Oryzias latipes: one gene and its partners. The protein of the gene in region 1 binds, or shares a complex with, the protein of each later gene. Links are inferred from orthologs where the notes say so. Each region holds a gene or a part of one and is shown in the gene's direction. Other genes may lie near its edges.

The links.
Region 2: med16 (region 1) and med31 share a complex: the UniProt entries of both Homo sapiens proteins name them as parts of the mediator complex. The link is inferred for Oryzias latipes from reciprocal best matches to the Homo sapiens genes MED16 and MED31.
Region 3: med16 (region 1) and med8 share a complex: the UniProt entries of both Homo sapiens proteins name them as parts of the mediator complex. The link is inferred for Oryzias latipes from reciprocal best matches to the Homo sapiens genes MED16 and MED8.
Region 4: med16 (region 1) and med1 share a complex: the UniProt entries of both Homo sapiens proteins name them as parts of the mediator complex. The link is inferred for Oryzias latipes from reciprocal best matches to the Homo sapiens genes MED16 and MED1.
Region 5: med16 (region 1) and med18 share a complex: the UniProt entries of both Homo sapiens proteins name them as parts of the mediator complex. The link is inferred for Oryzias latipes from reciprocal best matches to the Homo sapiens genes MED16 and MED18.
Region 6: med16 (region 1) and med12 share a complex: the UniProt entries of both Homo sapiens proteins name them as parts of the mediator complex. The link is inferred for Oryzias latipes from reciprocal best matches to the Homo sapiens genes MED16 and MED12.
Region 7: med16 (region 1) and med13l share a complex: the UniProt entries of both Homo sapiens proteins name them as parts of the mediator complex. The link is inferred for Oryzias latipes from reciprocal best matches to the Homo sapiens genes MED16 and MED13L.

What each region holds. Positions count from the first base shown.
Region 1 is NC_019862.2:1,616,442-1,619,441, forward strand, and holds the end of med16 (mediator of RNA polymerase II transcription subunit 16), read left to right. Parts: intron 1-973; coding exon 974-1,166; intron 1,167-1,430; coding exon 1,431-1,647; intron 1,648-2,079; coding exon 2,080-2,163; intron 2,164-2,238; coding exon 2,239-2,365; 3' UTR 2,366-2,449; downstream 2,450-3,000. UniProt on the Homo sapiens protein: Component of the Mediator complex, a coactivator involved in the regulated transcription of nearly all RNA polymerase II-dependent genes.
Region 2 is NC_019872.2:23,702,405-23,706,920, forward strand, and holds the start of med31 (mediator of RNA polymerase II transcription subunit 31), read left to right. Parts: upstream 1-1,575; 5' UTR 1,576-1,758; coding exon 1,759-1,768; intron 1,769-3,383; coding exon 3,384-3,458; intron 3,459-4,516. UniProt on the Homo sapiens protein: Component of the Mediator complex, a coactivator involved in the regulated transcription of nearly all RNA polymerase II-dependent genes.
Region 3 is NC_019862.2:24,740,540-24,745,175, forward strand, and holds med8 (mediator of RNA polymerase II transcription subunit 8), read left to right. Parts: upstream 1-1,729; 5' UTR 1,730-1,822; coding exon 1,823-1,828; intron 1,829-1,960; coding exon 1,961-2,082; intron 2,083-3,110; coding exon 3,111-3,255; intron 3,256-3,338; coding exon 3,339-3,479; intron 3,480-3,557; coding exon 3,558-3,645; intron 3,646-3,716; coding exon 3,717-3,956; intron 3,957-4,032; coding exon 4,033-4,103; 3' UTR 4,104-4,277; downstream 4,278-4,636. UniProt on the Homo sapiens protein: Component of the Mediator complex, a coactivator involved in the regulated transcription of nearly all RNA polymerase II-dependent genes.
Region 4 is NC_019877.2:9,646,923-9,650,798, reverse strand, and holds the end of med1 (mediator of RNA polymerase II transcription subunit 1), read left to right. Parts: coding exon 1-2,976; 3' UTR 2,977-3,523; downstream 3,524-3,876. UniProt on the Homo sapiens protein: Component of the Mediator complex, a coactivator involved in the regulated transcription of nearly all RNA polymerase II-dependent genes.
Region 5 is NC_019874.2:22,763,993-22,768,346, reverse strand, and holds med18 (mediator of RNA polymerase II transcription subunit 18), read left to right. Parts: upstream 1-1,352; 5' UTR 1,353-1,709; intron 1,710-2,186; 5' UTR 2,187-2,193; coding exon 2,194-2,266; intron 2,267-2,985; coding exon 2,986-3,542; 3' UTR 3,543-3,651; downstream 3,652-4,354. UniProt on the Homo sapiens protein: Component of the Mediator complex, a coactivator involved in the regulated transcription of nearly all RNA polymerase II-dependent genes.
Region 6 is NC_019868.2:8,241,369-8,245,774, forward strand, and holds the start of med12 (mediator of RNA polymerase II transcription subunit 12), read left to right. Parts: upstream 1-1,393; 5' UTR 1,394-1,450; coding exon 1,451-1,552; intron 1,553-2,256; coding exon 2,257-2,361; intron 2,362-2,451; coding exon 2,452-2,643; intron 2,644-4,406. UniProt on the Homo sapiens protein: Component of the Mediator complex, a coactivator involved in the regulated transcription of nearly all RNA polymerase II-dependent genes.
Region 7 is NC_019870.2:12,506,553-12,510,428, forward strand, and holds part of med13l (mediator of RNA polymerase II transcription subunit 13-like), read left to right. Parts: intron 1-120; coding exon 121-334; intron 335-1,048; coding exon 1,049-1,130; intron 1,131-1,244; coding exon 1,245-1,366; intron 1,367-1,526; coding exon 1,527-1,617; intron 1,618-1,785; coding exon 1,786-2,003; intron 2,004-2,092; coding exon 2,093-2,268; intron 2,269-2,341; coding exon 2,342-3,264; intron 3,265-3,465; coding exon 3,466-3,645; intron 3,646-3,759; coding exon 3,760-3,876. UniProt on the Homo sapiens protein: Component of the Mediator complex, a coactivator involved in the regulated transcription of nearly all RNA polymerase II-dependent genes.

The sequences.
Region 1 (3,000 bases):
CCTTGAGGTCCAGAACTGCTGCAGGACAGAATAGGATCTGAGATAAACTTGGTGCTTTGAGATTGTCCATGTTTCTCTCTAAAACCCACAGACACCTCTTTACTCTTCTGTCTTTTCTTTATGCTCAGGGTGACACACACCACTCAGGCTCTGTCCTGTATTGCTCCTATTGAGTTTGTCTGATTACTGTACACACCTGTTACCTGCCACAGGTGGGTTTAAATAAAAACAGAAGCGTTACTTGCTTGAAAAATTATTATATCTTACCAGTTTTGACAAGGTGCTAATAAGTCTGGTCCCATGTGGGACTTCTGTGTGAATATGTATCAGGTTTCTTCTGTTCCAAAAAAAAAAAAAAAATCAAAACATTTGCAATTGGAACCAATGTGTTGCATTTTTGTGATCAAATTGGAAAATATTTTAAGGTTTTTAGGCTTAATTCTGAATAGATAATGTGTGTGTGTTACATACCGAAAATGTTTGTGTACATATAATATAAATAAAATGATGGGTTTGTATTTAAAGCAAAGAAATGGAAGAGAGCATCTTGAATTGAAACTTAAAGAGTGACCCTCTGACTCTGAGTAGAATGCTGAGAACAAAACAGTTGCTTAATTCTCTACTTCTATTCTTTCGTTCAGCTGTGTTCTTGAGATTTACCGCATCTCTGTTAAAGCTGTATTGCTGACAGCGAAGAACAATCCTTTGGTTAAAACAGATTCCCAGTTAATATAAATAATTTACGAGTAACCAGAACTAGACAAGTCGGCATCACTGACTCATAAGGATTACCTCATGCTAGTTGTAAAATCTTTAAACGGTAGAATTATGACCTGTCACTCAACCAGCTGAACACAGAAAAGAAACTAAAGGAACAGATTTGTTTTGAAAGACTGCAACTGCCGTCAGGTGGAACCTGGTGTCCACCTGGGCAGGTTCTGATTGACCTGTCGACGTGTGGCCTGAACTGTAGGGCTCCATGGTTCGGCCTGGATTTGGTTTCATGAGAGACGGGGCATCGCTGGGGATGTTACGCGAGATGCTGGTGATGATCAGGATATGGGGTCTTCTGAAGCCAGGATGCCTGCCCACCTTCACCGCCATGTCGGATAGTCAAGACAGCCTCCAGCTGCTGTTCAGACTGCTGACCAAGCTGTGGCTGTGCTGTAAGGAGCAAATTCTTTACCCACTCTAAAGACGAAACCTGTAAATGTTGATCATGAAGTGGTGCTCGTTTTGTAGAAATCTTGAATTGTTTGATCAATGTTATTTGTTCTGGCTGTTAAAGGCTCGTCTTGATACAAATGTTTTTGGAACTGCAATGCAACTGTTGCTATGTCAGGCAACGGCAACACTGCAACCTGCAGCTGGGACCTAAGCTGGAGCCTTCTGTAGGAAGCAGATTTTTATGCCTGTATTTTGTGTCTCAGCTCGGGAGGATGGCCCCACCCAGGAGCCCGATGAGGGCCTCATTGATGAGTGCTGCCTGCTACCCAGTCAGCTGCTGGTTCCTAGCATGGACTGGCTCCCTGTGAACGATGGCGTCATTGTAAAGCTGCAGGGAAAGAACCCCCTCAAGCTGCAGTTTGGGAAAGCTTCCTCCTTACCAGGAGCAGCCGGCGGCGCCCCATTGGAAGCACTTACCAGGTATTGATCTAATCACCTGCTGTATAAAGGCTTGCACAGGTTTTGGAATAAAATCTGGCTTCTGCTCAAATCTCAAAGGTATGTGCACTGAAATGTTGTGATGTATACACCAATCTATGTCCTCTATAGTTGTGTTCACTTTACAACCCAACCCACCAAGAATGGACCCCTTCAAAAACAATTCTACATTTAAGAACAGACGGGCCTTTATCCTAATTTATGTCGTTAAAAGGATCCATGTTATGATTGCTAAACATAGTTGAAAAGCAAACCACTTTAAAGGAAAATAGTTTATAGAGTGGCCATACCACCCTTAACACGCCTGATCTCGTCCGATCTTGGAAGCTAAGAAGAGTCGCGCCTGGTTAGTACTTGGATGGGAGACTGCCTGGGAAGACTAAATATTCATGGTCTACTTTTTGCAATGCTTAGGAGTCCTGGCTCACAGAAGATGGACAACCTGCGCTGTGTCTTTTTAGGAGTTTGTCCCACTGAAGAAAGTAAAGCCTGCACCAGGTGAGTGCACAACAACATTGATGTGAAGTACAGGTACCGTTAATGAGCTTCTAAGTTTGGCTCCTCCTCCCTCAGATGCGGCTGTGTGACGATGCTCCGTTCCCCCAACAAGACCAACGCTATGAAGCAGTGGGAGCAGCGCTGGATCAAGAACTGCCTGTGTGGAGGCCTGTGGAGGAGGATCCCAGCTGCTCTCAGCTAACACTGGAAGCTGCACCAGTCTGAGGGAACATTTTTGTTTTCCACTGTAAATATTGTAACTCTTTCAATAAAAGACAATAATACTAACAGTTCTGCTTCTGATTGGGTTCTTTATACGCTGCGGTTTTACAGCGTGAGCCCGTTGGACTTCACCTTTGTTTTTGGGGAATCCATGTCCCCTTTTTGTCATAACTCACTGGTTGTTCATATTCTTTGTTCTTGTTTTTTTATATTATTCTTAGTCTTTTTTTTCCCCCTCTGCTGTCAGTGGCTATGGTGAAAAAACAAATTTCCCACGTGTGGGATCAATAAAGTATTTCTGTTTCTGATTGTTCCTGATGAATGTTAAAATATTTTATAACAGACTTTTGTGTATTTGTGTTTAATTTACTGCCTTTGAATAGCGGCCTCTGCGGTGAAACATCTGTGCCTGAGGAGCTGAGGGCTTCATCCGCTTTTTTAAGAAAAACAACTGAAAACTCATCGTTTTAACTCTGCCTTTAAGTAGCTGTTTCAGATCCACGCATTTTAATTTGATTTTATGTAAAGATTGTTTTTGTGGCATGTGTATGTGTGTTTTTTTATTAAGACTTCTATTTTCAAACTACTGTTTTTTTATTTTTGATTATTTATGTA
Region 2 (4,516 bases), on another chromosome or scaffold:
AAACAACTATGAACCTTCACTGAAACATTCCTGTTGTCCTTCAAGGACGGTAAAATTTAGATCAAGCTTGGTCAGTTCACAACCAGTTTTCTTCATTTAACATTCAGTAAATGAAGTTTGGGTCAGAGTCTCTCTGTGTTACCTAAGAGAAACGTGGAGAAGCAGGTTTTTTAGACGTCTTGTGTTGCAGTGGTTTGAATCTGAAAACGGCAGATCTATTGAGGTTTTTGCTGATCTCTACAAAGGTTTTTAGTTTTTATATAAACCAATATAAGTAACAAAGGTGTGCCTGTTTGTGTGTGTGTGTGTGTGTGTGTGTGTGTGTTTGTGTATGCACGTATGTGTGTGTTGTGTACATATGTATCTTCCTGTTTTTTACAAACCTGTTGCTAACTCCTTTTACTTGTTGATAATAAAACTTTATCACTCAAACATGTAAAGAGTGTTATTTTATGGTCCACATTCAAATCCTTTAGGTCAGGGGTGCTCATTATGTCGATCACGAAGGATGGAACTGTAGATTGCAGGTCATCAAAAATAAGAAATAAATATCAAAATATATTTTTTAAAAATCTGTCAGTGAATCATCATCCTCGGCAGGAAAGATGTCACTTGATTGACATGCAGAACAGCCAATTGAACGTCCTCTGAAGCATACGTCACTGTGTTTAACTACAGCGAGTGCACTTTCTTATTTCTTTCTTCCTGCTGCACACAAATACATCAAACTCAAGGCCCCAACTGACAGTGTGTTCAGTGAATGTCTCAGGCAACGGAGAGGGATGCAGTGCTAGAGGACAAATCCTCATGGGAGGACAAACCGGACCATAACTGAAGCTGCTGATATCAAGAAGTGCTACCAATGGCTAGAAAGGGCTGGCCTACAGGACAGCACTGAAGCACTCATCCTGGCAGCCCAGGAACAAACCCTGAACACCAGAGCAATGGAGGCTCAGATCTACCACACCAGACAAGACCCAAGGTGTAGGCTGTGCAAAGAGGCGCCTGAAACAATCCAGCACATAACTGCAGGGTGTAAGATGCTGGCAGGAAAAGCACAGCCTAGTAAGATTGTGGAGCGCCACAATCACACATGGGCCACAATCATACATACATACATGGAGCGCCACAATCATTCATACAGCAATCATACGGCCAGATGCTGAACTACAAGATCAGAAATCCTATGAATCAAGTGTGAAACATTTTGATTACCTAAAGTTTTTGCATATTCTCATATTTTTCAGTGTTCAGAGAAAAACATTAACATCAGACTGGATGAAAAATAACAAAACATTTTCCGTTTACTGCTTTTTGATCATTTAATTTCTGTGTTTTTCCAATAAATAACAAAGACTCAAATAAACATGGACGTTTTTTATTCACTGTTCAAATTATTTCTGTTTCATGATGACATTTAATGTTTATTTCTTCAGACTTCAAACACTATATAACCAAAAGTATGATTAACAAGTATTTTTTATTTGTGTTGGGTATTTTCTGTCTCAGTTTTTGTTGTCCGTGTGCTGAACAACAAAGTTTTGTTGCAAAAGAAAAAAAGCCGTAAAGTAGATAGCAGGTGTCGCAAAGTCGGAAGTGGTTTTGCCCGAGTAGTTCACTTACGGCTGATGAAAGCTAAACAAAAGCAGCTGGACTGAAGATTTGTTAAACATTTAAACACATATAAGGATTTTCTGCTCTTTCTGGAAGCCCTGCTCAGTTTGTGGACAGTAAATAGTTACTGTTCGGGTCGATACCATGGAAACAGGTTTGTAGCTAAACCTATTTTTGTTAGCTTTGGTTCTTCTAAGTCTAACTATATGGGAGGATGATGAATGTCTTCATTATTCTTGTGTTTTTATTTGACATTTGAGAAACTGTGTATTTCTAACTTTTGTAAAAGACTTAAAGCTGTGTTGATGCTTTTATTAACCTGAGTTCGTGCGTACAACAAGCCGAAAATTTTTCGTAAATAATAAATTAATAATGTCGGCGATTAACGCGGGGATTTTTTCGCTGTAGTCCGTAAAATAAGTAATATGACATTTATGAGAAAGTTTAAAAAGATAGAATATGAAGCTCGTCCATCTTGACACATTTTTCATAAAGAAGCCAAAGTAAACCCCGACATACTAGTACAGGTCGCTTGAGCAGGAATAAGTAAGATCTTCAGACTGCATATAATTCATAATTTCAAAAACGTTGGGCTAATTTTAGCAAACTGCTAACTCTCTTTAACCAATAAATAAACCAAAGACCGACATAAGGACAACACACTAGTTCACGTGGGTTTAATAAAGCTCTATCAGGTTTGAATAACTTTGTAAATGTGAGATTTTATCAGACATACTACCTTAACTACCCCATTAACTCAATGATTCACCGGGGACAGTGGTCTCCAGCTCCATATCGGTACCACTCTTCCTTTTTTCTGTTAATCAGGTGTTTATGAAGGTTTTATTTTGAAAAACGACGTCCACTGCTCCACATCTGTCTGTGACGCTTGATGTTTGCCTCAGTCAGGCATTTTACCCACCTTCAGCTGCTAACGCACATTACTACAACGCTAAATAAAAACCCTCATTCTATTGAATATTACACAAACAAGCGTCAGGCCCTCTTAAAGGTTTCTCTGGGCAGAAAGCACCGTCAGTGAGGAAAAGGAAGAGATAGACACAACCGGGACACAGGGGTCAACGAATCAGTCACTGGGGGGTTTGGTTGGCCATCAAAGGACTCCAGCGAGGAGGATGTAAATCTCTAGCTCAGCACCAGTTGGACAGAACTGAAGAAACTGCTCGGGTGAGAGGCGAAACGTCTTCAAACCAGAAACTTTGTCCAGTTGAATACTTTTGGAACTTTTCATTTTATCATGACCTGAATGACTGAGATTCCACCCCAACATGGAACCAGGAGTTCTACTCAAAACATAGATTTCTGGTGACAGTTGTTCCCGCACTCACTGTGCGGTGACTGACCCTCTAAGGTTTTCAGGACACTGCTAGTAAAATTGTGTACTGGTTGAACTCACATTTACTTTAGTCAGACGTTTTTGTCGGTCGCATCTTTTTGTTTGGTTGTATTTAGTAGCCGAACCTCAGAGGCTCGTTTGTGAAAATGTAGTCTGACAATAAACCAGTTCTTGCGTCGCGCTTATATAGTTTCTAACTTATCACCCAGTCCACTGGTCTAACACAGGAAATGTGTTTGGGGAAATAAAACTCATTTACAGTGTTAGCATAACACACGAATCATGGAAATATCAGAGCAGCAAAAAAATAATAATAATAATAACTGCAGCAGGTCGTCAGGCCCAAACTGCTTATTGTTTCAGAATTCGCAGTGTTTTTTACTTTTGTGTGATGCTGTCTTTTCTGGTCCAGATGAGCAGGCCCGGCACCGCTTCCAGGCCGAGCTGGAGTTTGTGCAGTGTTTGGCAAATCCGTACTACCTGAACTGTAAGTCTCTTCATCTTTTCTTTAACATTTGTTCTTTAACTTCCCTGAAAAGTGAAGCCAGAAACTACATTCCTTAACTGGAAGTTCGTTTGGTTGGAGGCTTGAAATCCTTCAATAATCTGAAGCCCTGCAAGGCCTCAACACGAATATTCCATGAAAACCTGTTTTTATGACTGCCCAATGAAAAGAAGGAACAAAAAGCTCTGAAAAGCCAAAAATATTACTCCAATTTTCATGTTTTTCCATATTATGTATCACATTAAAGATCAGATTCACCTATTTTACTCATTTAGTTTTTTTTTTTTTTTTTTCCTGACCTTTCTTCATTAAAGACAGAAATGTGTTTGTTTAAACTGATAAATATCCTCACTTCTGTATGTTGCTCAGTGTTGGGGTAATGGATTACAAAGTAACAAATTACTGTAATTTAATTACTTTTGTCAGTAACGGTAGAACATAACAAATTACAGCTCATATTCTGTAATGAATTACAGTTACTGGACTATAGAAACCCTTGTTACTTTGTTACTTAGATTTTGCAGGCTTTGACTTTTTCTCTGTTAATTGAAATGAAACAGAGACTAATTATAAAAAAAGACGGAATTACTGGCACATAGCAGCATGGGGGATCGGTCAAAGTACAGACATCCCCTCATTGCTGCAGTCGCTTTGCTTTCCAAACTGGCTCAAAGATGAAAAAGACAAAAAGAGATCCTGCAAGGAGTCTTGTTATCCCTGAGGAGCAGCAGGTGAGCAGCAGAGCAGAGACTCGTGTACTGATGTGTCAGTAGCAAGTGAAACAACCTTAAAGTCGGCTCTTTGGTGTGAAAGACACGACCCGGATCCTTCCTGGGAGTTGTTTTTTTTTTTAAAGTATTAATTCAGCCTTTCTTACTTTATTGTTAACTGTAAGCTACACATGACTGTGTCTCTGGTCAATATGAGATGGCGCTCGATGCACTCCGTAAAGGGGGGGGGGGTAGCTCAGGGGATTCACAGCTGTGAAGGACTTTGCACAAAACACAGACGTAGATAGAGAAAGGTGCAACTCATTGTAA
Region 3 (4,636 bases), about 23 Mb from region 1:
CTCCCGTCTCTCCTGCCACAGACAACTGCAGAGACGACATGACCTGCGTGAAGGAGGAGATCTTCGGCCCGGTCATGTCTGTCCTGCCGTTCGACACCGAAGAGGAGGTGATCCGGCGGGCCAACAACACCACCTTTGGACTGGCCTCTGGGGTTTTCACCAGGTCAGCAGAGAGCTGCAGACTGCGATAACGTTTGCTTTTAAGATAAAACTGCTTTATTGCATTTTCTGACCCTATTGCTGTCAAAGATTAACACTCCACAGTCTCTGGTAAGGTCTCACCTGAACTCTGTTCTTCGTCTGCAGAGACATTTCTCGAGCTCATCGTGTGGCTGCAAGTCTGGAGGCGGGGACCTGCTTCATCAACAATTACAACATCAGCCCAGTGGAGGTGCCATTTGGAGGGTATAAGATGTCAGGTGGGGTCTTGTAAAAAAAACAAAAAAAAACAAGAGGCTTCTTGAGGAAAAATGGTGAAACCGAGTTCTTGATCTGTGCAGGCTTTGGCAGAGAGAACGGCCAGGTGACCATCGAGTACTACTCCCAGCTGAAGACGGTGGTGGTGGAAACAGGCGATGTGGAAAACTACTTCTAGAGTTTCCGTTTTACACTCATTTCAGAGCAATAAACGAAACTGTGCAGACCTGTTGAATGTGGATGTCCTATTTGAACTTTTCTGGAGTGTCTTTTATTAACTCTTAAGTGTGTATGAACAGCTGGCATGATTCTTCAGGCTAATTTATTTTGTCACGTTGGACATTTGCTCATGCAAACATTATCTGAACTCTGATCCTGAAGTAAAAATAGCAGTTGCATATAGAGTTTACACTGCTAGAAACATTGATCCATCTTCTAAACCACCTTTATTCATGTATATAAAAAAAAAGTATGCTGGGTGTCCTAGAGCCCACCCAGCTACTGAAAGGCAAAGGTGGGATACACCCTGGGCAGTTCACCAGACCACTGCTGGGTCAAATGGTGTTAGGATTCAGTCTAAGAGACACTTTTGAGGTCTTAGGTCAGAGAGCTCTTCTCCAAGGTTGCACCAAACAATCAGGTCTCTGTTTTTATAAGGCTTGTATTTTAGTCTGATGCCTGGACCGGTGAATGTTAATAATAAAGCCGAACTAAATAGATAATGTTGATGACTCATAAACTTGAAAAGAACTGATTTTGTAATGGTTGGCCAAGATTCTGGGACATTTGGAGCTTCCACTAAAGATAACCAGAACAATATACAGCTTGTTACAGAAGACCCATGATCACACACAGAAACAAAAACACTAAACATATCATTTGTTTTTAATAAATACCAGGAAGACTAAATTGTTTCTGCTCTGAGCTTTTATCTCTGTCTCCCTGTAAGCTGCACCTTCTCTGTGCTTCCTTCACAACTGTCTGCAGGACTCATCCTCTGATTCTGCTCTCAGCTCTTCAATTTCACTTTGGTTGCTGCAATTTCTCATTTTTTTTTAGTCAACACCATCGTTGATTCTCTATTTTAAAAAAGTCAGTATAGACTGGATTAATGACTCTGACGGGACAGTTCTAGTACATTATTTTGGCCTGGAACAGAGAATTTGGACGAAAGAAAACAATATTAAAGGGTGCAAAACCCTCAGAAACAAATATTTATTGAACAATAAATAAAAAAAGAAAAGAAAAAAACAAGAGGATGGGTGGTATGGGTACCTGCTGTAGCCACAAGGGAGCACAAACACACCGTCAGATTTGACCAGAGAAGAAGAAGCATCTCTTTTTTTTGGAAAGCGCAAAGCGGAAGTACAACCTAGAAGACTTCCGGGTCGCTGACAGATCAACAATGCAAGTGAGTCTGAAATAATTTCACTCGGTTGTCTGTGATTCTTCTGACCTACTGTGGACGATACTTTGGACTGATGCTAGCTCGGGCGCTGTGTAATCTGTCCGGGCCTCTCTGCTCGTCCTTTTTGTGTTTCAGCAGCGGGAGGAGAAGCAGCTGGAGACGGCGGTGGAGTCTCTCATCTCCCGGGTGGCTCACGTTAAAAACGCCCTGAGCAGCTTCATCTACAAGCTGGAGAATGAGTACGAACGTCTGACATGGTGGGTCCTCCTGCCCTTATGACGTAACGTATCCCCCCTCCTTTGATTATGATAAATAAAAGCCTGGAAACATGCGAAGTTAACAAGTGAGTGCATATCGTGCGTGTGCATGTGTGCGCGAGCGCACTTAGACTATAAATCTTTGTTGATCCCACAAAAGGGGAAATTACCTTGTTGTTGCCATAGCTCCAATAAAACATCAGATATATATTAATAACACTAAAAATACACTTAAACAATTAACAGCAATCATTTTTGTCCAATGTCTATAAGGCATTGCAGAGTCTAATAGCTGACGGGAAGAAAGATCTGGGAAAGTGCTCCTTCCTGCAACAAGGTGTAAAGGAGCTGCTCAGTACACCCATACAAAGGATGATGATGATGATGAAGAAGAGGAGTGTCCATGATGGAGTTCAGTTTCTGTAACATTTTACTCTCACCCACCACAGTTACCGATTCTAGGAGACATCCCAGAACGTAGCCGGATCTCCGCTCCAGTTTGTTGATCCTCTTCTTGTTCCTGTTTGTGCATTCACACCTCCAGCAGCTCAAACCATAGAAGAGGGCAGACGCAACAATGCCATCATTAAAAAGAGTCCTGAAAACTCAGGAGAACCCCAGTCTCCTCAGTATCTCCTGCGATCTGGGATTGCTTCTCCAGCGGCATGTTGTTGTTGCCAAGCAACAACAGCTGACCGTGTAGACGATGTACCCACAGACCGCTTCAGACCCAGAAAGTGGGGGATAAATAGTCCAAAGGACTAGCAGGCACGCCACTGCACTTGTGTAAAAAACAACAATTCTGTCAAAAAACAGAATAATAATTAGAGAAAAAAAAAAACGAAACTAAAGAAAAACAAGCAAGCCAACACAGATCTATGGTAACTGCCAGCTTGTTGTAGCATTGGTGTCTGTATTTGCGTGCGTGTATTTGTACGTGTGCATGCGTCTTTTAGAAAGTGTTTGTGTCTCCATGTTTACCTGCAAAAGTTTTCTCACCCCCCTCTCAAATCTTTCCTGTCCCTCAGGCCATCTGTTTTGGACAACTTTGCTCTCCTCTCGGGTCAGCTGAACACCATCAACAAGCTGCTGAGGAACGAGAAGACCCCAGCTTTCCGGAGTCAGGTCATCATCCCGCTGCTCCTGTCTCCTGACCGGGATGAGGATTTAGCTGTGAGTGTCGCCGCAACATTTGCAGGCTGTCCTGTGTGGTGAAAGACCTCTAACTATCCTGTCCACCCCCACACCCCCCTCAGAAACTCACAGAGCAACGCGTCCCGGTGTTCAGTCACGAGATTGTGCCAGATCACTTGAGGACCAAGCCTGACCCCGAGGTGGAAGAGCAGGAGAAGCAGCTGAGTGCAGAGGCGGTCAGGATTGGTCCTGAGTTGGCTCAGGTCAGGAGGCGCATGGATGTTTGTTATCTGTTGTCTGTGCTCAGAAGGTGTTTAGTGTTTGTCTGTGCTAATCCACAGAAGCATATCCAGGCTCTGAACAAGCTGTGTTCCAACCTTCTGGAGAAGCTGAACAACCCTCGAGAGGACAGAGAGGGAGATGCTTCTGGTGGGTCGCTCGTTTGTGTAAATCCCTTGTTGTCCTTATTGTAGAAAGAGCTGAGTGTGTTTATCTTCCAGCAGTGCGGCAGAACAAAGCGTCCTTCAACCCCACAGACACCAGTGCCTTGGTAGCAGCTGTGGCTTTTGGGAAGGGACTCTCCAAGTGTAGACCTCCTGGCCCTGTGGCCCCTGGCCACCCAGGGCAGGGGCCCATGATGAGCGGAGGTCCAACGTTACAGCAGGTCACTATTGGTGGCGGGTCAAACCAGCAAGCAGGTATGGGAGGGCCTGGGGCCCCCCAGCAGCAAGGTCAGCCAGGTAGGAAACTGTACTGGTAAAATGTATTAAGTTTTTTGTATTGGAGACACATTTTTATTTCTTTATTTTTGTCCAGGAAAAATGCCAAGCAGCATCAAGACAAACATCAAGTCTGCATCGGGTTCCATTCACCCTTACAACCGGTGATCTCCCCCGCCCGCCTCTTTACTGCTCAGATGCAGGAACATCAGTCTGTTACTGGGTCCACCTTCACGTCCCCCTTTGAAGCTCTCTATACAGCCACTAGGTGGCAGCATGGGATCCTTTATGGCTAAATCTTAACAGCACAATGACATGTTTTCAATAAAACCCAGAAAAGCAGCTTGGTTTGTGTGGCCTTTATTATACAAGTGTCTTTCTCTTGTTTCTGCACTGAAACGACGTGAAAAAACCTGAGCTCCGCTCTTCTGAGTCTGTGTTGCAGCGCTGAGCCTGATGGGGGTGGACGTTGTGTCACAACTTTTAAGGGAGAACGCGAGGAACTATTGCTGTTGACAATGGTGGTGGTGGGGGTTTTATTCCTGTCTGAGTGTTGGCCCTCTGTCTGCTCTGATCCTGTCTGGCTGTATGACCTACATCCACCCTCCGTTCCTTAACTCAGAGTTGAACAAAGACACATTTGTGCTCACAAACAAACCTGAACAAAAGACCGATATGGGAGACACAAAGTCAGAAGTCTC
Region 4 (3,876 bases), on another chromosome or scaffold:
CAGCAGCACCATCCAGTGTCACATGAAGATGATTTTCATCGGGAGCTCTTCTCTATGGATGTGGATGCTTCTCAGAATTCTATTTTTGATGTCAACCTGGCAGGTGATGGTCTCGACACACCTCATAGCATCACTCCAGCACCAAGCCAGTGTGGGACACCACCTCCTGGCTCTAATATGCCTTATTCACAGTCTCACATCCAGCCTCAGCAACCACCAGGAACTGTTCCACCCCGCATGGTTCGACTCTCCAGCTCTGATAGCATTGGACCTGATATCACTGAAATCCTGCAGGATTTACCAGAGCAACCAGGCAAAGGCAGCAGTGAGAGCCATGGGCAGCACCCCATGGGTAGTGGTGGCGATGATGTAGGACCCTTAGGTACTCCCATCCGGGACTCGTCCAGCTCCGGTCAAGGTAGCGCAGTGTTTGATTCGGGAGATATTTTTAATACCAATAGCAATGAAAACCCCTTTACGGACACTGATCTGATTCCAACTCCACCTGATCCCATTCAGGATAGCGATTGTTCGTCCTCTTCCTTCTTTCATGACCCACCCGACTTTTCCCCAGAGCATAGTTTCACTCAGAACTTCTTTGAAAACTGCTCCGAAAGTCCTGATGGAGTCATGGACATGGTCAAGGGGTTCGGAAGTCAACAAAATACTCCATCTGGAACTCCTCAGAATCCTACTCCACATGGACAGAACACACCAGAACCCTCGTTAAAGGATCCTTTTGATATGGGGATAGTGTTTGGAGGCAACAGTGGTAGTGGAAAACCACTTCTGGGGCATGCTCCTGATCTTGGAGACACTCACGGAGGAGGATCCCAGAGTCCCCTTATGATGGGGCTTGGAGCTGCCTGTTCTGATTTTAAAAGTGCTGAACCCAAAGTTAAACAACAACAGGGCCTTGTTCGGGCAAAGGAGGATAATGGGGCCAGTGGAGGGAGCAATTCTGGAATGGGAATGGGGACCAGCTCAACTGAAGGGAAACAGGTCAAACGAAGCAGAACCCCATCCAGTGAAGGAAAGTCAAAAGAAAAGCCTCCCAAACGCAAAAAGGTGGATCCAGATGGAAAATCCCCCTCTCACAGTTCTGGTGGGCGACCGTATACGCCCCCTAGTGGTGGTTTGAGTTCAGGAGTTAGCTTAAGTGCTGGAGGCTCCAAGTCTCCTGGTAGTTCAGGACGCTCCCAGACTCCTCCTGGAGTGGCCACACCCCCAATTCCCAAAATCACCATTCAGATCCCAAAGGGGACTATAACCGGAGGTAAAACCTCTTCCCATAGCGGATACACCTCCAGCAGCTCAGCCACCAGCAGCTCAGGAGGTACAGGAAGTACGAGCAGCAAAAGCCACCACTCTCACTCATCTTCCTCTGGAAAGATCAAGTCCAAAGAAAGCTCCTTATCACAGGGAAACAACTCCAAACCCGGGGGGGCAGTAGGTGGAAGTGGACAGTCCCAGTCAAAAGGCTCCTCTCAAGGTGTTGGCAAACCGGGATCATCACCAATAACAAAACATGGATTTTCAGGGCCTGGTGGTGCTGGAAGTGGAAATAAAATTAAACCACAAGGGGGAAAACCTCCTGGGTCTCTTATTAACCCCAACGTAAAGCCAAATATTTCCCCTTCCCATTCCCGCTCCAGTGGCTCTGGGGACAAACTGTCCTCTCCGATGAAGATGCAGCAATCACAGGTTCCAGGAACTCCTCCATCCTCAAAGGCTAAATCTCCTATGGGGTCCGGAGGAAGCAGCTCGGGAGGGTCCAAGTCTTCCTCTGGTGGAGGCCAAAGCTCACAGAAACCAATTGGTGGCAGCTCCTCTTCTACCGCATCTTCATCATCATCCAGTTCCTCCTCATCCTCTGGTTCCATGAGTTTCTCAGGAGGTTCCCAATCTCAATATGTTGGTGGAGGAGGTGGAAGCGGAGGTGCAGGAGGGAGTGGTGGAGGGACTGGTCAGAACAACTCAAACAACCCCAATGCAAAAGGAAAATCTCCCAGCCGAAACAAAAAGCCCTCCCTAACAGCAGTCATTGATAAGCTGAAGAGTGTTGGTGGAGGAGGAGTTGGAGAAGATGGCTGCGATGTAGGGCCACCAGTTGGAGGAGCTGGTTCAGGAGCTCCTCCTGGTGGTTCTGGAAATGTTTCTAGTGGACCTTCTAATGTGGGCTCCACCAAGCACACCTCCTCATCCCAGAATGTGGAGTACAAACGGGAAAAATCGGATAAGGAGGCAAAGGCTAAAGTCTCCGTATCTGGGGGGAACAGTGGGGAGAAGAAGACAATGGACTCGAAAGCAGGTGGTGTGGGCGGAACTACCCTTGCCAAAATTATCATTAGCAAACCAGATGGTGGCTCACCAAGCATTAAGGCTAAAGTGACCCTCCAGAAGGCGGGGGAAGGGTCTAGTGACTCTATACGTCCACAAATTTCTAGTCTTAAAGCTTCGCCTCTTTTCAGTGGATCTACGCCCAAACATGACCGCTCGTCGCCCAGCCATAGCCGGTCCCCTGCATATACCCCACTCAACCCCGACAGCGAAAGTGAATCGGGCAGCAGTTCAGTCGCTGAGAAGTCGCATCAGAACAGCCCCAGCTCTGACGATGACCAGACGATGCGTCCTCTTCCTCCACAAGATTACATGAGCTCCATCCCACTGGGTTCAGGGGAGAAGCACAAGAAGCACAAGAAGGAAAAGAAGAAGCAGAAAGAGAAGGAACGGGAGAGGGACAGAGACAGAGAACGGGACAGGGAGAAGGAGAAGAAGAAGTCTTCCCTGTCCATGGGCTTGTCCTCCCACCCAATGAAAGCAGACAGTTGGTCTCGGTCTCCCATCTCTGCCTCAGATTCCTCTCTGTCCATGCTCAGTTCAGATCGGCCATCAAGGTCCAGCCCGATGTACATGAGAAACGAAGAAGATGAACTCATGGACTCAGCCCTCACTGGCAAGTTTGATCCAAACTAGACATTTTATATATTATTGGGGGCTTTTAGTGAATACAATTAGACATGTAAATTAATTTACTCAAGTCTAAAATTGAAATCTGAGGATAACAATGCTTCTAAGCGGTTTTTGACATGTTTAAACTATATTTTGGAGTTATTTTACTGTATATTGCTGTTAAATTGAGATCTTAGATTTGTCAGAATTAACATTTCACAACCAAAGCCACTTCAGAGTGTTGCTCTTTAATGGCTTGTGGCTATTATTACTTGCTTGTTTCATTACAGCTTAAAATGTGTCTTAATTTGATACAATATGTCCAAAATGTGTCAAAAAAGTCAAAATTATTACTGTTAATTTTTTTAGCATTTCGAGTGAACAGAGCTGCGTGAGAGAATATTCATTAGCTTTTTTCATGTAAAGGGAGTTAGAGTGTTTATACATTTGAACTATTATTGTGTATTATTGTGTAGTCAACAATATATGGGTATTGCCGAAAACTATGTAGCTGTTTTCCTCTTTTTTACCTGAATATCTAGAGGATTGTAATAAATATAACGCATCTGGAGAGGTCTTTATTTAACTCACTAAATCACATTTACATTTATACTCATTACGGTTTAGTCTCTGCTTTTATGGGGTATTGCTGTAGCTCCACTAGATGGCAGCAAAGAGTCACAGAATAAACTTCCTGAATTATACCTTTACTTTTTTATTTTTTTTACTAAAACTTGAGTTGAGTGGATTTTCTCAGTTTGATCACTAATGAAGATATTTGGATTCAATTCTAGGAAAATGGCTGAAAATGCACAAAAGCCAAACAAAATATGCTTTGTCCTAGGCATTTATTTTAGCATCGAAAAGATACGCCACTGACTTTAAATTCTGCAAAAGGGATTTAAAAAATGCAAATTACCTAAA
Region 5 (4,354 bases), on another chromosome or scaffold:
GAGTTTTAATGAGCCTGAGGTTTTAACAGCTCCATCACACCTTTTCTATGTTCACCCTCTAGCATTTCCTTTGCTTTGCACTTGCTGTGTTTTCAGAAGACGGACAAGTGTGAGTAATAATCCTTTACATTTTCCACAAATCATAAAGTGACTAATCATTTACTAATCATTTTCCACTAATCATTATTTCTTTATTTGCAGGTGGAAGAAGAACCCTCCATTGTTTATTCCTTAATTGCCTTTAGAACCCCTGCAAAGACCAATGGCCGTGAATTAGCCCACAATGAAACCATTTACAGTGAAATAAAATTCACAAAAAGCAGTTTGGATAGGTTGAGCAGGTAATTGTTGCGATATTTTAGCAGTTCTGAAGTTGCCTTAACATGGATTCTGTTTTGTGAGTTGAAGTAAACTTCACCCTACAAGGTCCAAAATGGAAACCCTTAGAAGGGTTTTTTCCATTGTGTCAGAAAATGAATAACTGCTTGCTAATTATCTTTATGAAATATAGCATTGCTTTGTGTCTGTACCTGATACTGTCAGCAAGTGCTTTGAAAACAGAAAACAAGTTCCTTTAAATTATTCTGAACCATTATTTTTTCTGACACAAATTTTGTTAAATATTTTTTCTTTAAAGGCTTCGGAATCCGTCAAAACACAGTTTTTATATCTTTATTATTTTATGTGTAAAATATGCATCTGATGGAATGTTTGTCATTTACTTTAAAAGGTTAAGCACAAATCTTAAAAAAGTTTGTGAACCTCAATCAGCCAAAAACTATAGCAGCATGTCTGAATTTTAAATGTTTTATTCAATGTTTTAAAAAGAAAATATTTAACAAAAACTAATTGTAAAAATATTGTAATTGTTGTGAAGACAGCATCTGAGTTTTAAAAAAAAGGCCCACAGAGCTAGGCTTTTATTTTTTTATGTGCCAGCAATTACTATTACAACATTTTCGGTATGAAATCTACATATATATTTTTATTATTTTTAAATATGTGCAAGGTTTTCAAATACATTTAGTTACTTATCTGCACTGATAATAGTTTCAATTTTTAGAGCACGTTTTGGTTTGTGAGTGTTTTTGTAAATCAAATGACTTGAAGTTGATTTTTAAAAAAATGTTATTTATGGATTGTATTTTTAAAGTAACCCCTGTTTGGGTTACTGTAATTGATCCTTTTTCTACATTGCTAAAATTTAAGTTCAATAAGTGTATTCAACGTGTACTTATTGTTTTATCATTTGCCTAAATACCTGTTTGCGCGGAAAAAGCTAACACAGAAAGTTGCTTCCATGAATGGTTATATTCCGGGGTTTCAGTAGGTGGCAGTAACGAGCTTTAAACTGGATTGAAAGCGCCTTTTAAAAACAAAAGCCAAGGAAGAACTTGGGCGCCTTTGTTTTCTGATTAGCATCAAATTTTGGTTGTTTTTAGAACGGGTTACAATATATATTTCATTAACACTTTTTTTATTTTTTAAGTTAAGTACGAATGCCTTAAATTACTTTGTTGATGACAGTAACAGCTCAAATCGTGAGTTGGTAATTCCATGTAGGCTAACTGTTAACTGGTACTAGCAGCCGTGTGGATATTAGCTAACCGGTGAAACAGGGGGCCCACCGTGGAAACCAACCACAAACAGCAAAAATATCTTAACTTTAGTCAGTTCTAACGCTGCGCCGAACTCTTTATTCTGCTCAGGTAAACCATCTTACTCTGTAGTGAGAAACGTCTACTGCTTTTGCTAGTTAGCATAAGCCTGCTATTGGTAGTTGTATTTGTTCGCTAATTTAGCTAACAACTGTTTTCTGTTTACTCATTCATTCATTGGTAATGTCACTCACATGTATCATCAAACAACTGCAAATGAAATAGAGTAGTCCAACAACACTTTGCAAAAAGTAGCCTATTTAGTTTACTACATGTATAATTGGCTAGTGGGACGATATACTTGAAGTAAACTTTTAAACACAATCTAGTATTGCTAAATTCAAAACATAAAATGTTCCAATTTAGTCTGAAGAAGTTTTCAGTCAGTTAATACTTCTTTCACAATATACACATGGTCTATCGTACACTTGTACTTATTCTCACGTGTCCTCAATGAAATAAACTTCAAGTGTAGTACTTTTTGCTAAGTGAATGACAATGCCATCATTCACTATTACTTTAAATCAGGAAGAAGATGGAAGCTCCTCCTGTCACAGTTATGCCCGTCACCGGCGGTGCCATCAACATGATGGAATATCTGTTACAAGGTGAGACGATTCAGATATAGAAGGTTCAACCAGAGATATAGAGGCTTGATATATTTACAGATAAAACGGTGTATTTTTCCAGAATACATATATTAGAAGCCAGTATGAAGTTCACTGGCTAAATTATTTGAAAAATAATGTTTACATCTTCATTCTGTTGCTAAAACCAACTTCTATCCATTAATATTAGTCTTTAAAAAAAAACTATTAAGTTGAGCTAATTATTTTTCCATCATGAGTGTTGGTGTAGCATTAAAGAGCAAACCACACTGTCAAGAGTGTGGAAAGAGTGCTCAGTTACTTTCTGTCTTGAAAATAATATATATTTCTAAGGTTTTCCTGTCCTGTTTGTGCTGCACTTTACTGGACACATTTGTATTTAGTAAACTGAAGTATTTAAGATTATATAGATGCATAAAGATTTATGGAAAAATAATCCTCAAGTCAGGAAAGCTTTTTTTAAATTTTTTTATTCATGAAACCTGTTATTCATGTTTTCATCACATCTGAAGTGTTTATTGAAACTGTGTTTGTAAAAAAAAGAGATCTAAAACGAACACTAATTTTAACATTGAACATTTTTTAATTTCATGATGGAGGATTATATGTTTAATATTCATTTTTAAAAAGTTGTATCACAGCAGGAAATAATTATAGTGGGAGTAAAGAACTTACTATATGAGTCTTTAAAGGATATTCTATTTTCTCGTTTTTTTCAGGCAGTGTTTTGGATCAGGCTCTGGAAAGCCTCCTGCATCGCCTGCGTGGTCTCTGTGACAACATGGAACCAGAGACTTTCACCGACCACGAGCTGGTTTACCTTTTGAAAGGCCAGCAAGGCAACCCCTTCATTCTGCGTGCCAGACGCTCCCTCTCCCACCCTACTTCTCCATGGCACCTGCGGTATCTAGGCCAGCCAGAAGTGGGAGACAAGAGCCGCCATGCTCTGGTTCGCAACTGTGTCGATGTAGCTGCCTCTCAAAGCCTTCCGGAGTTCCTCAATGAGATGGGCTTTCGCATGGACCATGAGTTTGTGGCCAGTGGTCACATATTTCGCAAAGGAGCAATGAAAGTTGTGGTTAGCAAGGTTTCACGCATCCTAGTACCAGGGAACACGGAAAATACAGAGCGAATGTCGCTGTCGTATTTAGTGGAACTGAGCATTTTGGCTCCGGCCGGACAGGACACCGTGTCAGAAGACATGCGCAGCTTTGCCGAGCAGCTCAAACCTCTGATTCATCTGGAGAAGATTGACCCAAGCAAGCAGAGACATTAAGCATTAATGGAAAAAAATGTTTTTGTTATTGTTTTCCTTTCCATTTAAATGCTTTTTAATGTGATGAAATACAGATTTACTTTGCTTAAACTGTTACAGTTGTGGTTAATCTGACCTGTCAGAGTATTTTTTTAATTTATTTTTTACTTTTTGTGCCTACTATAAAGAAAATATTATAGTAACAAATAGCTGGAAAATACTTAAATATATTTTAAGTTGACAAACATTTTGCAATGCCTCAGATGGCTTATGTTATTGCTTTAAAAATTTTTTTTTAAATCTTCAATTTCATTTTTTTATATAATAAATGTCCACCAGGGGTCTCTCTTTCCACAAGGATGGTCTTAATTGGAGCAAAGTGAACGCTACCTCTCATCATCTACAGGAGCTCTGGTTGCCATGGAAATAATTAGCTGTGCGATCTGCACATCGTTTACCCCACTCTAATTAGCTTTCTCAATTGCTTAATGATACATAGACCTGTGAAAGCCTTTCTTTCTTCCTTTCCACAAAAGCATTGATTTTCCCTCTCTTCCCCTTTCATTTCTACTGTTAACCCATTAGTATCCTTTCTTTTTTTCATGGGAACTTGAGCTGGGACTATTACAAGTGAAAGCACTATGGTTGCCTTAGGTCCTTCATTGCTCATGTTGAAATTGGAAAAAGGGGGTTGTATATTAGTGTGTCAACATGGCCAAGCTACTGCAGAGGCGGAAGTAACTAATGCACATCCTGTCAGTTATGATAATAATGTTGGCAAAAAGACAAGATTGTTTCTAATAATACCCTTGCAGGAAGATGCATTTGCTGGA
Region 6 (4,406 bases), on another chromosome or scaffold:
AAGTATACTAATTGAACACGTCATACTAAATTGGAACATTTTAAATTTACAGTATGTACTGTGTAGACAGTTGATAATAAGTAAACCAAAAGTATGCTGTCTCACTTTTAGTATAGATTAAGTATAAGTGCACACCTAAATAGATTACGTTTAGCTGAGTAACTTTTGCTTTCTAAATAGATTTTTGGTTAATTTGTTTTTGTACTTCTACTGAAGTAACATCACTAAAGCTTGGTCATAGGCCGTTTCATTCAACACAGTTACATTTATTATTATTATTTTGTATTGTTAAGAAAACAATATACCTTGATTTTGTTTTCAACTCTACAAATATGTGTTGAAAAGTTCCATCAAAATACTTGAACAACATTTGATCAGTTGGTGGGTCAGTACCTGAACAAATAGTTTTCTTGTCATATTGATAATTTCTTTAAAACTTTAGCTTTCCAGTGACACTTTTAGAGTATGCAGTTGTTTCTGATGTGATCCCTGCAGGTTTTCTTCAATTTCTAAAAATGTCTAATGCAAAGAAAATAGGCCAGTGCTGAATTTGATGACACTTTTAGTGGAGATGTGGACATTACGAGGAAAGGATGCACCAATAGATATATTAGAAATCAAATTTCTTGTTTGACTTCTGGTGCAAAGATTATTTGGTATCCAATCTTGAGTGATTCAATATTGTATTAAAAATAAAAAAGAAAAAAAGTTTCATTTAACATTTTTTATCAAATTTTTCCAGTAAAGATAGACAAAAAAGATTTAAAATAGGGAAAGGGTATTTCTTATTTTTACCTAAAACACGTGTGTTTAGCTAATCAAGTAAGGAGACCACTTTTAAAATTTAGTTTAGTATTGCATGTAGTCTACATAACTGGATCAGATTTGAAAGAATTTATAGTCACAGAATTGAATGTAAACGTCCAAATTAGTATTGTTGATTTCATGTTTTATTTTGAATACATGGTTTGCCCAAAACTGTAATTTTTGTTATTCAACTGTTTATAATTTATTGTTTAATCCCACACTCACAAATATAAATGGTCCATTTCAAAATCTTGTTTTAATGTTTTCATTCTTGACTTTAAAATAATCACAACAGTGGAACAAATGTAAAATATGCAGATCTTGAAGGAATGGCACATTTTTCAATTCTTTTTAACAAGATTGTAATGATTGTTGATGTGCAGGTTGTACAGTACGTGTTATGTTTACTTTCGCCTATTGTCCTGTATCTAGTTCATAACAAAGTTTTTTAAAGACAAAAAAGGTTTAAACGACACTTAACGAAAGGGAACAAAATAAGAGCTTTTCTTTGAAGCGGCGCACAATCTGAAACTTTTATTTTGAAGTGGCAGAATGAGAGGCAGCCGGAAGCGAGTGTCGCTCTTACATTCAGCCCAGAGACTGCTGTTTAGGAGGCGGAAAGCTTTGGCTGTGATGCCCTTAGATGATGGCTGCTTTCGGGATCTTAAGTTACGAACACCGGCCATTAAAGCGGCCCCGCCTCGGTCCTCCGGACGTTTATCCCCAAGATCCAAAGCAAAAAGAGGTGCAGTCAACTTTCATTCGAGCCTCTCTTGGATTGGAATTGTGTTTGTTGGAATTGTGTTTGTTGGTGGGGGAGAATTCTCTCGACAGGGAAGCTGTAGGGGGCTAACACACAGCTAGCGTTTTATAGCAGCGCTGTATAAGCGAAGGGCCTTGGAGCAACAATAAGCAGCTCCCGGCTGTCAGCTTATTAGCAGCTCCGCACTTAACTGGAAAACAAACCCCTCGTTAAATAACAGAGCTAGCTAAGCTAACAGCAGCTATGCCACTGAATATCAAACAGAAGTTTGTATTTCCGTCAAACAGAAGGGGGTTCATATCTCCGAAAGACTCGCATATTTAAATGTTTTGCTCCACAAAAATGGCGTTAACCTGTTAACTATCCTTTTTATTATTATTATTATATTTTTTTTAGGAATGTTTAATGCATCCTTATCGTAGTTTAATTTCGACTCTACCCTGTGTGATAATGGTACATTCCTTTGTTCTTATATATGTAGCAGGTATAGTTTGGGGTGTCAGTGGTAAAGCTTTATTTCTCGGCCCACCTTTTTCTGAATTCTCAGGGGAATGATCAGTTTTTGTGTTGTCAGCACAGCCAGTCGAGCACATTTCCTGCTTGCTCAGAACGCCAGTGATTGCTGAGGAATGGAGCTTTAGCACATCTTGTAGTATTGACCTCCTACATGTGTGTTTTTGTTTCAGGATGAGTTGACTGCCCTCAATGTGAAGCAGGGCTTCAACAACCAGCCAGCTGTGTCTAGTGACGAGCACGGCTCTGCCAAAAATGTCAACTTCAATCCCGCAAAGGTACCATTCATTTATTAATTATTATTGGCAGATTTTGTCCTAAATGCCAGTTAGTTTTTTTTTTTAATGCATGTGCTCATGTGTTTGCAGATCAGTTCCAACTTTAGCAGCATCATCGCAGAGAAGCTGCGCTTCAACAGTTTTCCCGATACAGGGAAACGTAAACCGCAGGTTAACCAAAAGGATAATTTCTGGCTCGTCACAGCAAGGTCGCAGAGCTCCATCAATAGCTGGTTTACAGATTTAGGTGGTACTAAACCTCTGACCCAGCTGGCTAAAAAGGTAAAAGTCCTGTGGATGAATCCTGGGATCACTGAGTATTGTTGTGTACTTTGTTTTCCTGTTTACTGTTTTTGTTCTCAGTTCACGTACGGAAATCTTCAGTTTGTTAAAGATGCACTCAGATGAAAATAGTATTTTTAACAGGTTCTTGTGGCATTTTTGTCATGATGGACATTTTTTAAGAAAATTAAGCCTAAAAGAGCATTTCTCTTTTTTAAATTGTTGTGAATGAGGAGCAGGAGAAAAAAATGCTTTTTGAAAAGAGATTGTAGTTGGACATAGAAAAATACGATGAGCCCCCTGCTCTGCTCCATTCTGATACATGCACTCACAGGCAAATAGATCCATGTACGTCTTTGTTTTCCTCGTCTGGGCTGAAATCTGGATCAAAACTGTACGGCTGGATACCGCCAATGTTGCTCGCCATTTTAGTATCGCTGCTAATTTTAGGTTGGGGGTGTGAGGAGCTGTAAGTTAAAGGGGAGCATGTAAACAGAGGAGTAACCGAAATTGGGGTGTGATCACTCCACGTCAACAGTCCTGCCCACAACTCAGAGGAGAATACTGATGAACTCCAGCTGCTCTGCAGAAACGATGTCCTAAAAAACGAGACAGGTTTTTGATTTTGGCTAAAAACAGCATAACCCTTGTGCTGTCCTATGGGGTCCAGATGACCCGATCTTTACATTGACGTGTTCTCCCTACCATTACAAAAGTGGATAAAGGTGGAAAGATTTCATGTAATCCATGGACACCAGTGAACATCACAAATCATTGAAGAAAAAAGGTTCAGAGCACTGTCTAGTGCAGAGGTGGGCACTGAGGGCCGCATTCCTGCATGTTTTCCAGCATACCCTGCTCTGGCATGTTCTGATTGGCTGGACACACCTTAACCAGGTAATCAGCCACGAGTAGGGCAAGATTATTGGCTGGACACACCTGAAGCAGGTAATCAGCCATGAGTAGGGCAAGACTATCTGGAAATCATGCAGAAACACCGGCCCTCGAGGCCTGGAATTGCCCACCCCTGGTCTAGTGGGTCTGGATGACCCAACTCCCAATGTTAAAGTGCCTAAGATAGCACAAGGGTTACGAGACCTCTGGGAACGCTTTGAAAATGGATCAAAAAAAGGTTGAAGTGGGTCTTTAAACTGTCAGTGAAAAGAAACAGAATATCTTTCACACTTTTTATAAACTAGTAGAATTAATGATATTTGTAGCAGGTACCGGATGTTAAAGTGTCTTGAGTATTTGTACCCTTACAATTCATCTCTATGATGCTCAAACTGAACTTTGACAAAAACAGCATAAATGGAACAGCAGCTTGATGTCGTCCAATAAAGAAAATCACATTGATGTCTTCTAACTCAAACACAGAAATCTAGTCAAACGGCTGCTCTATTTTGCATCATTGTAATTTACCAGACATTATTTTGTTCCATTGTTTATGAAAAAGCTGTATTTCTCAATTGATGTGTTTTCTGCTGGCCTGTACATTTATTATTACAGTCCCAGTCTGGGCCAATGTAGGCTAGCTGTGAGCATATAGGATATTTAAGCCAGGTTTATTTATAGGTAAAGTCAATACAAAAGTTTTGCAAAAATGCAAAAATAAATGTGAATTTTGTCTTCTTTTTTTTCTTGGCTGGTCAGTTTTGGCATTTGTGCTGCTATAATTGATCAGATCTTGTTATAGTTTATTTTATTTAGATAAAGTGAATTTCAGCTGTTGTGTGGACAGCCACATGTCTATCTCCTTAACC
Region 7 (3,876 bases), on another chromosome or scaffold:
AAATAGGTTTTGCGTTACGTGTTATTGGAATCACAGAAAAGTATCCATGAGTAAAAGAAAACCCAGATAGTTGTGAGGATGTGTGTTTTGGTTTTACACATGTTTCTTTGCCTCCTCCAGACTCTATACACAGACCCACAAGAGATTTAAAATCTCTGAAGAGAGAGTGAGGGACCACATTAAAGCACTTGGCTTGTTTGAGCAGCCGGGTGTGGAGGTACTGAGGGAGAATGGTGAAGATCCCTACGACTTCAAGGAAGGAGACATCGAATACACCTTCTCCTCCTCCAAAAGGTTAAAGGGTCCAGGGCGAGAGCCAAGCAAGAAGGCTAAGGTATTATAGTACACACTCAGAGCTTGTTTGTTGGTTTGTTTGTTTGTTAGGGACCATGTACTAAACATTATCACTAGAGAGGGGATCTTTTGTACATGATTTAGCTATAAGATACTTATCATCTGCCGTCCTCCAGCATGGAAGCACAATAGAATATGTTAAAAACAATAAAAATAATTGGTAATAGAACTATTAAAATGTATTTCCTTTAATACATTGCACAAAAAGTAGCTGTTCTGAGATCTGGACCATGATGTTCCGATCATCTGTTCAAAGCAGAGCTGAGCTATTTCTTTAGGGGAGGTGGTGCAATCCGGATTACAATTTATAAAGTTTTGCATTTTTAATGCTTGGTGAGGTTATCAAACGTACACCAACTGCATTTGCTAATAAAAACAGTTTCTCATCCAAGTAAGGAGATAATAAATACAAAATGAGTTCACATCCAGTTTGGACTTCAATTGTTAAGATCATTCAAAATGTTCAGTGATATTTATTTTTTCATTACCATTGCTTGGTTTTGAATTCCAGTTTGTTTTCTTCTTTAATGAGAGAATAAGTGGTTATCTTTTCTTAGATAATAAACTGCACACAGTCCAAATTAAACTCAATCATTGTTCAACTTTGGAGTACATAAAATGTTTTTACAGGTACACTGCAGATAAAAGAATATTATTTAAAAGTTGTCTAAACAATCTCCACTTTAATTCAAAGGGGGAAGAGATCACAAATGATGCATCAGCTGTTCCTGATGGAAAAGATGCTATGTCCATTTTTAACTCTGCTCCAAAATCAGGTAAAGATGTCAGCACCAACACTCCACACTTTACAGTTTTCCCATTAGCCAGAAGGCTGCTGCTTCTCTGCAATGTTTTTTATTTTGTTCCTCTGTTTTTTTTGTCTATTGCAGAGGAATCGGGTCAAGATGATGCTGCTGCAAAAGCCAACCCTTCTCTGACCAGAGAAAAAGATCTGGTGGTCAACATTTCTGATCTGGATAACATATTTGATGAAGACGAAGAAGAGTTGGGCGTAAGACACAATCTTTTATTCCTTACAATTGTAGATTTAACCATCATTGGAAGACCTACTAATAATTCAGTAAAACACATTTATTCTTAGCAGTATCAGGACTTTATATGGGATGTCCTTGCCTTTAGACGGACTCATTTTTCTTTGTAATAATCCGTAGACTGTTTACCCGAATCAGACCAAGCTACTCGTGCCAACAGAAGATCGTCCTGCTGGCAAAGAAGGGAGAGTTAATGTCCCTTATCCATCAAGTGAGTAATAAGTATTTTGTTTTCAAAAGCTCAGTAAATATGCTTTTTTACTATCTACATCAAATTATGTGTAGATCAAAACTTTTTACTTTTACAATCACTTTGAAATATGTTTTTACATTATACCCCATTTTCCTTTGTCATGTCTTTGTGTCTGCCTCATTTTAGCAGTTGCAGATCTCCAGCGGATGTTTCCAACCCCACCTTCGCTAGAACAACACCCGGCTTTCTCTCCCATCACACCGCATCGTGACACCCCAAGTCTGGAGCCCCCAGTACCCAGTGGAGTGGCGGACCACCTACCACCCTTGGCTTCTTTCCAGCTTGCTGAATGTAGGATGGAGATGGAGGAGAGTGTGGCCAGTCCAGGGCAAGATGATATCAAAGTGAGCGGAAATTCATCCGAAGCTGTTTGAGCAATGAGAGACGTGTGCCAAACTGCAGTTAACAGGCATATGTTTTCCTCTCTTTCCAGCCACAGATATGTTCCTCCATGTTTGCTCCTTTATCCTGCCTTCCCAGCCAGAATCTGCCACCGTCAAAGATTCCTGATCAGTGTTATTACCGTCCATCCTGGGCTGTTTTACCTAAAATGGAACATTTCACCACCATCATGCATCCTCGGAATGTTTTCTCCAAGGATGGATACACGTGAGTATTTATAGACACTTGAAACATTTTTTGAGTGTAATTCTTGGTCTGACTCCCTATTTTAATTATCCAGAAACATTCCTAGTGTCAACGCCCTCACTGACCAAGAATATGGCCAGATGAGCGGTACGACTGCCTCTGTGAACACCACCATCCTTCCTTCTCCTGCCATGCCCCAATTTTCCGTGCCCACCCCACGGACTCCCCGTACGCCCAGAGGGATTAACGCTGCAAGCTCAGGGCAGGGCTCAGTGAAGCAGGACGGCACTGAGCTTAGCTCACCAGTTTCTACCCCGTCCACCAGCCTGCCCCTTAGTTCTGTAGAGCCCTTAGGACGGCCTGGGCCCTCTCTGCCTGAGGCCCACAGCCTGTATGTTGTCCTTTTGCTCTCAGACTCTGTCCTTAGCGTATTTAAGGATCGCAACTTTGACAGCTGCTGCATCTGTGCCTGCAATATGAATGTCAAAGGGGCAGATGTGGGGGTGTACATCCCAGATTCCACCTGTGAAGATCAGTACCGCTGTATGTGTGGCTTCAGCGCGATCATCAACAGGCGGCTGGCTCATGGTACGGGCCTTTTCTTGGAAGACGAGCTGGATATATTTGGTCGGACGTCTGAAGTGGGTCAAGCAGCCCAGAGGAGGCTGGCTTTATGTCGTCGGGACCCAATCATGGGGGACTCCAGAGCCAAGCAGCCTCAGGAGGCTACCCCTGCCTCTCCATCAGTCATGATCGTTTTGCAGGAGCAGTGCTCCCATCCCATTTCCTCTCTGGCATCACTTCACCTCCCTCTCAGCTGCTCTTGTCATGGACGCAAGGGGGCACTCCTCCAAAGTTGGATGTCTGAAAAGCAGTGGGCGGATGAGAGTGACGCCTGTGTGGAGTGTTACAATGCTTTGATGCAGGGGCTGCAGTATGTGGACAACCCCACTGGGGGAAAAGTGGATCTAGCTGTTGTCAGAAGTAGTGCCCTTCATTCCTGGCCACACACAAACGGTAAGAAACATTCTTTAACTGCAAAAGTAGAGAATATAGATTTGATCTATTATGACAAAAGTTTTTTATTAGTTCAAATGATTTTATGTTTTTACATGTTCTGTGATTGTTTTGTTTCTTTGGTGTGCAGAACCATTTGTACATTTTTAATGTAACCTTCTCTGTGTATGTATGTGTGTGTGTGTCTGGCTATTTCCAAAGTGGTGGATATGAGCATGTTGTCGTCACAGGATATGGTTCGTATGCTGCTATCTTTGCAGCCTTTCCTGCAGGATGCCATCCAGAAGAAGCGAACAGGTCGGACCTGGGAAAACATCCAGCACGTTCAGGGGCCGCTGACCTGGCAGCAGTTTCACAAGATGGCTGGAAGAGGCTCTTATGGTGAAAATGCTCATGTTTTTCTGTGATAAAATTATAATTGCATGCCACTTGCAATGTAATATAATATTTTAAAAATGATCTCCAGATTAAACATGACAACTTGTATAACCTCAGGTTCAGAGGAGTCTCCGGAGCCCCTGCCCATTCCTACAGTGTTAGTAGGCTATGACCGTGAGCGGGACTTCTTGGCTTTGTCTCCTTTGGCATTACCTTTTTGGGAGAAACTTCTGC